2 linked regions of the Macaca mulatta genome follow. The protein of the gene in region 2 purifies or fractionates together with the protein of the main gene of each other region. This does not show direct contact. Links are inferred from orthologs where the notes say so. Each region holds a gene or a part of one and is shown on either strand. Other genes may lie near its edges.

Region 1 (3,744 bases), on a different chromosome or scaffold from region 2:
AGGTGACAGCAGCTTGACAGAGAATGCCTTCCCTCCCACGGCATTTGGGACGAGACTGAAGGAAAGACACAGGCGGGGTTACGGGAAACCCATGCTCTGCGCCATCTGGACAAGCTGAAGTCAGTGTTTCCGCTTTCACACGAGGTAATGGATTATGATGGGCTCAGGTCCCCTTTAGCTCTGAAACAGGTATTCTATGGCTCTAGGTAAACACGGCATGAGACAGGTATTTCTCTGGTAGGATCAGTTGTATTTCCCAGAGAATAAAACGGGCAACAAACCATTTATCGATATGTGAATGGTCCCCTAGGCCCTATTTGGGGCTGGATAAAGAAAAAGAAGGTTTGCTTCCTTTTTGGCGGGTCCTCCAACGACAGAGTTCATGGCCCGCTGCGCGTCCAACTTCCACCTCTCGTCGCTCACCGGAGGACGAGCGAGGCTCTGGGCGAGGACAGCCCCTCAACCGCACTCCCCAGAGGGAGCGCTGTGACTCGCGGAGATTAGTCCCCGGTCATAAACAACCTCTCACTTCCCCTCCCCCGCGCCCGCCCGCGCCGGGGCGGCCCTACGAGGCCCAGGAACCTCCTCCAGCGCCCGCGAGGCCCCGAGTCCTCCTCGGAAGGGCGGCTGCGGACCTGTCCTCTTCTCCTAACCAGGTGTTTGTCCACTTTACTCAGCCCTTCTTACTCGTCCACAATACAGCCACCTCAGAGGGGGCGCTGACGCCAGCCCCTTTTTTCCTTCTGTCGACCCCAATCACCTCCAACAGCCAGAGGCCGGCGGCCCTGACGCGCAGGCTCACCGCCGCGGCCGGCGCGCGCGCGGACGCGTCCCCCGCCCCCACCTCGCGGATCTTCCGCGGTTCGGCCCCGCCCCTTCCCGAAGCCCGCCTCCGGGTCGGCCCGCCCGCCCGCTCGCGCGCACCCGACGCCCCGCCTCCGCGCGTGCTCAATAACTGTCCCCGGAGCCGGCCTGCAAGCTTCCCCCGCCCCTGAGCTGTTTAAATATGCTAATGAGAGGGCAGGGACTAGCCAATAGAACGGCGAGGCGATGTATCACGTGGCTCGGGGACGTGTCAGGGGCGGAGCCTCCGCAGCCCCTGCCCGAGTTAAAATCGGAGTGTGAGAGAGAAAAGCGCTTCAGTAGCGAGAGGGGCTGAGAAAGTGGTGACACTGCCGGGGTGCGGAGGGAGTCCCTGAAACTTCTCCCAACAGCCCCAGGGCCAATCTCCCCTCAGCCCACTCCCCTCTTCGCCAGCTCCCAGGTCCCCACTCCCTGTACCGGGGGTGGGGTGGGGAGCCAGGCCCGTCTCCCGCTGGGACACACACAGGGGCCGGGAGCGGGGACGGGACCCCCGAGGCGGGGGGGACGGACCGACAGACAGACGGCTGGGCGCCCGCCCCAGCGGGCAGGCAGGCAGGAGGAGGCGGAGGCGGGGGTACGACGGGGAGGACTGGGTCTGGGGAGTTTCCTCTCAACTATCGGGGGAGAAACTCCCCGCAGCCGGAGGAAAGACCCAGACGGTGTTTTCCTCCCGGGGGCCGCGCACCCCCGCCCCGCGTAGCGGCGGTCGCCGCCACCGGCGCCTCCACCTCTACCATCTCCTCTTTCTCCACCACCTCGGGCCCCGGTGTCCCTGGCCAGCACTATGCCCATCTTACTGTTCCTGATAGACACGTCTGCCTCTATGAACCAGCGCAGCCATCTGGGCACCACCTACCTGGACACGGCCAAAGGCGCGGTAGAGACCTTCATGAAGGTACCGACTGACCGAGTCCGGGCGGCGACCCCGGCCCGGCGGCCCGCGGGAGGCAGGGTGGGGGAGGGCAGCCAGGGCGGGGGTGTCGGGGACCTGACTGCGGGAGCTGCCGGGCTCGGGGACCCCCTCCCCCACCGCGCGGGCGGGCGGGCGGGCGGGCGCTGCGAGCCGGGCTCGGCCGGGGCCCGGATTCCGGCCCCGGGCGGTGTGTGGGGAGCGATCTGTGTGTTGGGGGCGGCGTGGAGGGGTGGCCGCTGCGTGTGCGGTACTGTGGGGGCGGCGGGGCAGCTGGGCGCCCCTTCTCCGCCTCGTAACCTCGCCTCTGTGCTTCCCTCTCGCCCGCCCTGTTCCTCTTCCCGTCCCGCAGCTCCGTGCCCGGGACCCTGCCAGCAGAGGAGACAGGTATATGCTGGTCACTTTCGAAGAGCCGCCCTATGCTATCAAGGTAACAGCCCTCGCCCTCCCCCTTTCCTCTCTTCCCTTCCCTGTTCCTTCCTCGCTCGCCCTCCCCGCCCCCCCATTCACCCTTCATTATGCTCCCCTCCCCCACCCGCTGCGCTCCCAGCCGCTGAGGTCTCTTCCCTGCGGGCTCCCACCCCCTCCCCCGCTCGGCAGCGTCCTAGCGCGGCGCGGAGTCGCGGGGCCACCGCCGTCCCCTCCCGGCCCGGCCCGGCCCGGCGGCTGCGGCGGCGGCGGCGGCGCTGCGATCAACATGGCCGACATTTCCCCTCCGCGGCGTGAGCGGCAGCAATGAACTGTGGGGGATATTTATTCAAGTTAGCCGGAGTGACAGCCGGGCCCGGCCGCGCACAGCCCCGGTTTGCATTAAAGGGGAATCGGTCCGGCCGGCACGGGAGCCAAATACGGGGCTGCCAGGATTGGTCTTGTCAAATTCGTCCTAAGAGGGCCGGTGGGACAGCTGCAGGTTAACTTCCTAAGTCTGGCTCCCGTCTGCTTCCACTAGTACGTTCACATATCCACATTTTGGGTATTAGATTAGGTAGTAAATTTGTCAGTGAAGTTATAAAGTATTAAGGTTGTTAACTACCAAAACCTAGAGAGGAAGCAGGTTTATTCCTGGGCCACCTTTGGAGGAGAGTTTCCTCAGCAGTGGTACAGTATTAACACGTTAACCAAGCCAAACCAACCAAAAGTGAAGCTGCTACTTGGTGACTGTCAGATTATAACCGCTGTGTGTACATGGCTTTAAAAAATGAAAAAAAAAAAAATCTTACATTTTTCTTTTCAGGCTGGATGGAAAGAAAACCATGCAACGTTTATGAATGAACTGAAAAACCTTCAGGCTGAAGGACTTACGACTCTTGGCCAATCCCTAAGGACAGCTTTTGATTTATTAAATTTAAATAGATTAGTAACTGGCATAGACAACTATGGGCAGGTAGGTTGAATAATAAGGTGGCAAAATAGTTGATTTTTCATTTTGTGGAAACACAGTCCAATCCAAAAACTACATAACATGAAATGCACGTATAAAACATTCCAGATTAAAATAGAATATGCACATTGTTCAAAGGCAAAACTCTTACCCTACTATATATATTTTATGTCCCTCATTTTTTCCCCTTTTAAAATACATTTGTATTCAGGATTAGAATCTGAATCTTTTGCTAAAAATTTGACATACATTGATTTTAATCCCTTGAAAGTTCACTAAAGACCTAAAAGGGAAAGCGTCCTATCTCACCACACTCAAGTTGTGTGTGCAACTATTGTAGTGACTTACAGACACTAGTTAGTGGTCTTCATTTCTATATTAGTAAAGATGTTAGAGGAAATTAATCTGTTTGTTGCATCAGGGTTTAATGTGATCATGCTGTATAACTATTCTGAAAGGTAAGAAGATTTTCACTGGAATACAGTCACTGGCTGAGAACATTAAGTTTTCTCCTTTTGAAGCATACACAGTTAACTATTGCAGGAAGAATTCTGAATTAAATTTCAGGCCTAGAGTTTTAATTTAAACT
Region 2 (3,744 bases):
GGTTCACGCCATTCTCCTGCGTCAGCCTCCCGAGTAGCTGAGACTACGGGCACCTGGCCCAGCTAATTTTTTGTATTTTTAGTAGAGATGGGGTTTCACCGTGTTAGCCAGGATGGTCTCGATCTCCTGATCTCGTGATCTGCCCACCTCAGCCTCCCAAAGTGCTCGGATTACAGGCATGAGCCACTGCGCCCAGTAACGTTATTTTACTAAATCCTGTCTCTGAATGCAAGGGATACCTGGCCTGTTTTTATTCACCATCACTGTAGGTTGCTGAGTAAATGCTGAATTAATGAATGCATCACTGAGTCAGTGACTGATTGCCTTCACACAGCGAGTGCTGGGCTGGGATCCTCCGTGAATCTGGGGAGGTGAGGTTTGCAAAGACAGGACGGATCTGGGGTGGGGAGATACCCAGGCTAGGCTGGCACTCAGGGGAGAGGACAGAGGTGAAGGGACTTAAAAAGCACCTAGAGATATGCCTAGCTCTACCTAAGACTCTCAGTTAACCGCCTAAAGTAGGGACACTTTTTGCCATTGCACAGGTAGGGAAACTGAGGCCCAAGGGCATTAACCCTGACCTGGCCTGGAGCCAACAGAGGAAACCCTGTACAGTTTGATGCACAAATATTTAAAGAGTTCCCACTAGGCTCCCCGACCGTCCCTAGGAGCCGAGCTGCCCCTTGACCCATTCCAGGCCTCAGTTTCCCCGCCCACACTTCGCCCCCGCCTCATGGGATTCTAAACTGTCGCCGCAACGTGGGAGTTGAACGGAAACTACAACTCCCAAGAGGCCGTGCAGCCAAAGACACACGAGAACTACGGAGGGAGAGTCTCGCGCAGCAAACTGCCGTTCTCGCAAGGCTCGGGCTGCCCTTGGCGCTGCCGATCCCGGAAGTTGCTGCATTCAGGCGTTCGCCGACGACAGCCCATCGCGGGGCGGGGTTACGTGGAGGGGGCCTGATTGGGAGTCGGCGCAGGCGCAGTCCGCGCGGGTTCTCGCAGGCAAAACGGGTGCGAGTGGCGGCGATGGACGACGAGGAGGAGACGTACCGGCTCTGGAAAATCCGCAAGACCATCATGCAGGTGAGCCGCGCGTGGTGTTGGGGGCGGGGGCGCGAGCAGCAGGTGCAGGGGCCCGAGGCGAGGTCGAGCTCGGCGTCTCCTCGTACTCCCGTCGCAGCAGCAGCGACGGAGGGCCCGGCCGACACGGGAGGCCCCGAGGCCGCCGGGGATCCCAGGCGCTGGGCCCGACCTGAGCCGGCAGCGGGGAAGGGAGGGGGTTTCGAGACGTCTGGGTGCGGGGCTTAGCGGTGGGCGGGCGGCTTGGGCTGGTGCGGCGCACATGGCGGCGAGAGGAGGAAGGTGCGAATGGGGACGGGGGGCGCCCCCAGACCCTGCCCCTCTCTGTGATTCAGCGTCGCCATTTGTCCTTGCGTCCTGAACCCCAGGGCGTCTCAGCATCCGAGGCTGGCGGAGTTGGTGGTTGGGAAGCAGCAGGCGAGCTGGGGCTTTCGATGGGGACGTGGAGCCCGGAACCCGTGCCTCGGGGTCTGAGACAGATGGAGGCCACTGGGCCGACTCCGGTTTGGAAACTGGGCAAAGGTCTGAGGGCCTGCGGTTCAGGGTCCTCCCTCAGCCGTTGGGGCCGTTTGGGAGCTTTTGTTTTGTCTTGCTTCCCCACCCCCTATGCCCTTGTCTTTAGCGAAGCCCCCCGCAGCCTGATTCTCCTTCCTCCGGGCCGCAAACATTGTCAGCCTGAAGTCACATTTGTTTCGGTCCCTGTCTTTTTTTTTTTTTTTTTTTTTTTTTTTTTTTTAAGAGACAAGCTCTCACTCTGTCGCCCAGGCTGCAGCGCAGTGGTGCAGTCATAGCTCACTGCATCCTTGAACTCCTGGCCTCAAGCAGCCCTCCTGCCTCGGCCTCCCTGAGCTCTGGGGTCGTGGACGTGACCCCCCACGCCCCGTCTTTGTCCCTGTCTTTAGGGTAGCTCTGCAAAGTGGTTTGGAGGGCTTTGCCCCCTGCCAGGTTCCTGTGAGGCTGGATAGACGGACGGTCTTGGTCAAGGCTGGACACCTCTGCGAGCCTCTCGGGATCACGCTGGTCCCATCCTGTGGTGTGGGGCTGTGGGGGCCAGGATGGCTGTCATGGGGCACACAGCGAGTGTTCATTCCGTTTGCTGTTCACCTCTGTCCTCTGCAGCAGCCGCAGGTCTGACTTCTGGGTCACGAGCTCTGGCCGCCTTCCTGTCTCTGCCCTGGGGTCAGCTGGTTCTTTCTCTCTGCAGCTGTGCCACGACCGTGGCTACCTAGTGACCCAGGACGAGCTTGACCAGACACTGGAGGAGTTCAAAGCCCAATTTGGAGACAAGCCGAGTGAGGGGCGGCCGCGGCGCACTGACCTCACGGTGCTGGTGGCCCACAACGATGACCCCACCGACCAGATGTTTGTGTTCTTTCCAGGTGAGCAGCGGGTCCCGGGGGAGTTCTGGTGGAGCCGCCCGAGCACCTGCTGAGGAGCCGGCCGCTAGCACCCACCCCCTCCCGCCTCGTGCCCAGCGTTTGATCCTCTGCCCAATCTGGGAGGAAAACTTCCCCTCCTCTTCCTTGCTGTGGGCGATGCCGTGGACCTCTGACCCCTCTCATGCGCAGCCTCTTTCTGGTTTCCCTCTCATCGGTCCCCTTTCTTCCTGCCAACCAGGAGAGTCCCATGGACCTCCCTACTCACCCGCAGCCCCTCATGACCTTTGCCCTACCTGTGTTCCTTGGCTCCCCCATCCTGGCCGTTGGGTGCACTTCCAGCTTCTTGGCCTGGCCCAGGAGGCCCCGTGTGGGTCAGCGCAGCCTCCTTGTGAGCTGTGGCCCCTGTCTGCCCCAGCCCATTCCTCTGCACCCCATGCCGCCTCTGCCTTGTCAGCGTCCGCTACTCATCCCTCGAGGTTGTGCTCAGGCCGCTTTTCCCGGGACCCCTGGGACCCTCGGTTTCAGCACCTGGACCGTGGAAGTCTCCCCACCTGTCTGCCCCCCCCCAGGATGGCTCTAGCGCCCTCAGTGGTTGGGGGACTACCAGCGCCTAGGGACACAGCCGCGTGCCCAGAATTAATCAGTGGGGTGGACGGAGCGTGTCTGCCAACCGGGTGATGCTACTGCTTTTTTTTTTTTGAAAGTCTCATTCTGTCACCCAGGTGGTGCAGTGGTGCCATTTCGGCTCGCTGCAGCCTCCACCTCCTGAGTTCAAAATTCTCCTGCCTCAGCTTCCTGAGTAGCTGAGACTGCAGGCACCCACCACCATACCTGGCTATTTTTTTTTTTTTTTGTATTTTTGGTCGAGATGGGGTTTCACCATGTTGGCCAGGCTGCTTTCAAACTCCTGACTTCAGGTGATCTGCCTGCCTCGGCCTCCCAAAGTGCTGGGATTACAGGCGTGAGCCACTGCGCCCGGTCTTCTTTTTTTTTTGAGGCTGAGTCTCTCTCTCTGTCACCCAGGCTGGAGTGCAGTGGCGCAATCTCGGCTCACTGCAACCTCCACCTCCTGGGTTGAAGCAATCCTCCCACCTCAGCCTCCCACAAAAAGCTAGGTTTACAGGCATACACCATCTCACCTGGCTACTTTTACTTTTTTTAGTAGTGTTTATTTGGTTTTTTGAGACGGAATCTCGCTCTGTCGCCCAGGTTAGAGTGCAATGGCACAATCTTGGCTCACTGCACGCTCCTTCTCCCGGGTTCACACCATTCTCCTGCCTTA

Evidence for each region.
Region 1: the proteins of POLR2E (region 2) and INTS6 purify together in Homo sapiens (affinity purification with mass spectrometry; 3 studies listed by BioGRID and IntAct, with this or other methods). This does not show direct contact. The link is inferred for Macaca mulatta from reciprocal best matches to the Homo sapiens genes POLR2E and INTS6.

Annotation. Positions count from the first base shown.
Region 1 is NC_133422.1:30,689,530-30,693,273, reverse strand, and holds the start of INTS6 (integrator complex subunit 6), read left to right. Parts: upstream 1-1,136; 5' UTR 1,137-1,648; coding exon 1,649-1,759; exon of another isoform or gene 1,760-1,953; intron 1,954-2,126; coding exon 2,127-2,204; intron 2,205-3,008; coding exon 3,009-3,158; intron 3,159-3,744. UniProt on the Homo sapiens protein: Component of the integrator complex, a multiprotein complex that terminates RNA polymerase II (Pol II) transcription in the promoter-proximal region of genes.
Region 2 is NC_133424.1:1,752,913-1,756,656, reverse strand, and holds the start of POLR2E (DNA-directed RNA polymerases I, II, and III subunit RPABC1), read left to right. Parts: upstream 1-984; 5' UTR 985-1,029; coding exon 1,030-1,086; intron 1,087-2,287; coding exon 2,288-2,462; intron 2,463-3,744. UniProt on the Homo sapiens protein: DNA-dependent RNA polymerase catalyzes the transcription of DNA into RNA using the four ribonucleoside triphosphates as substrates.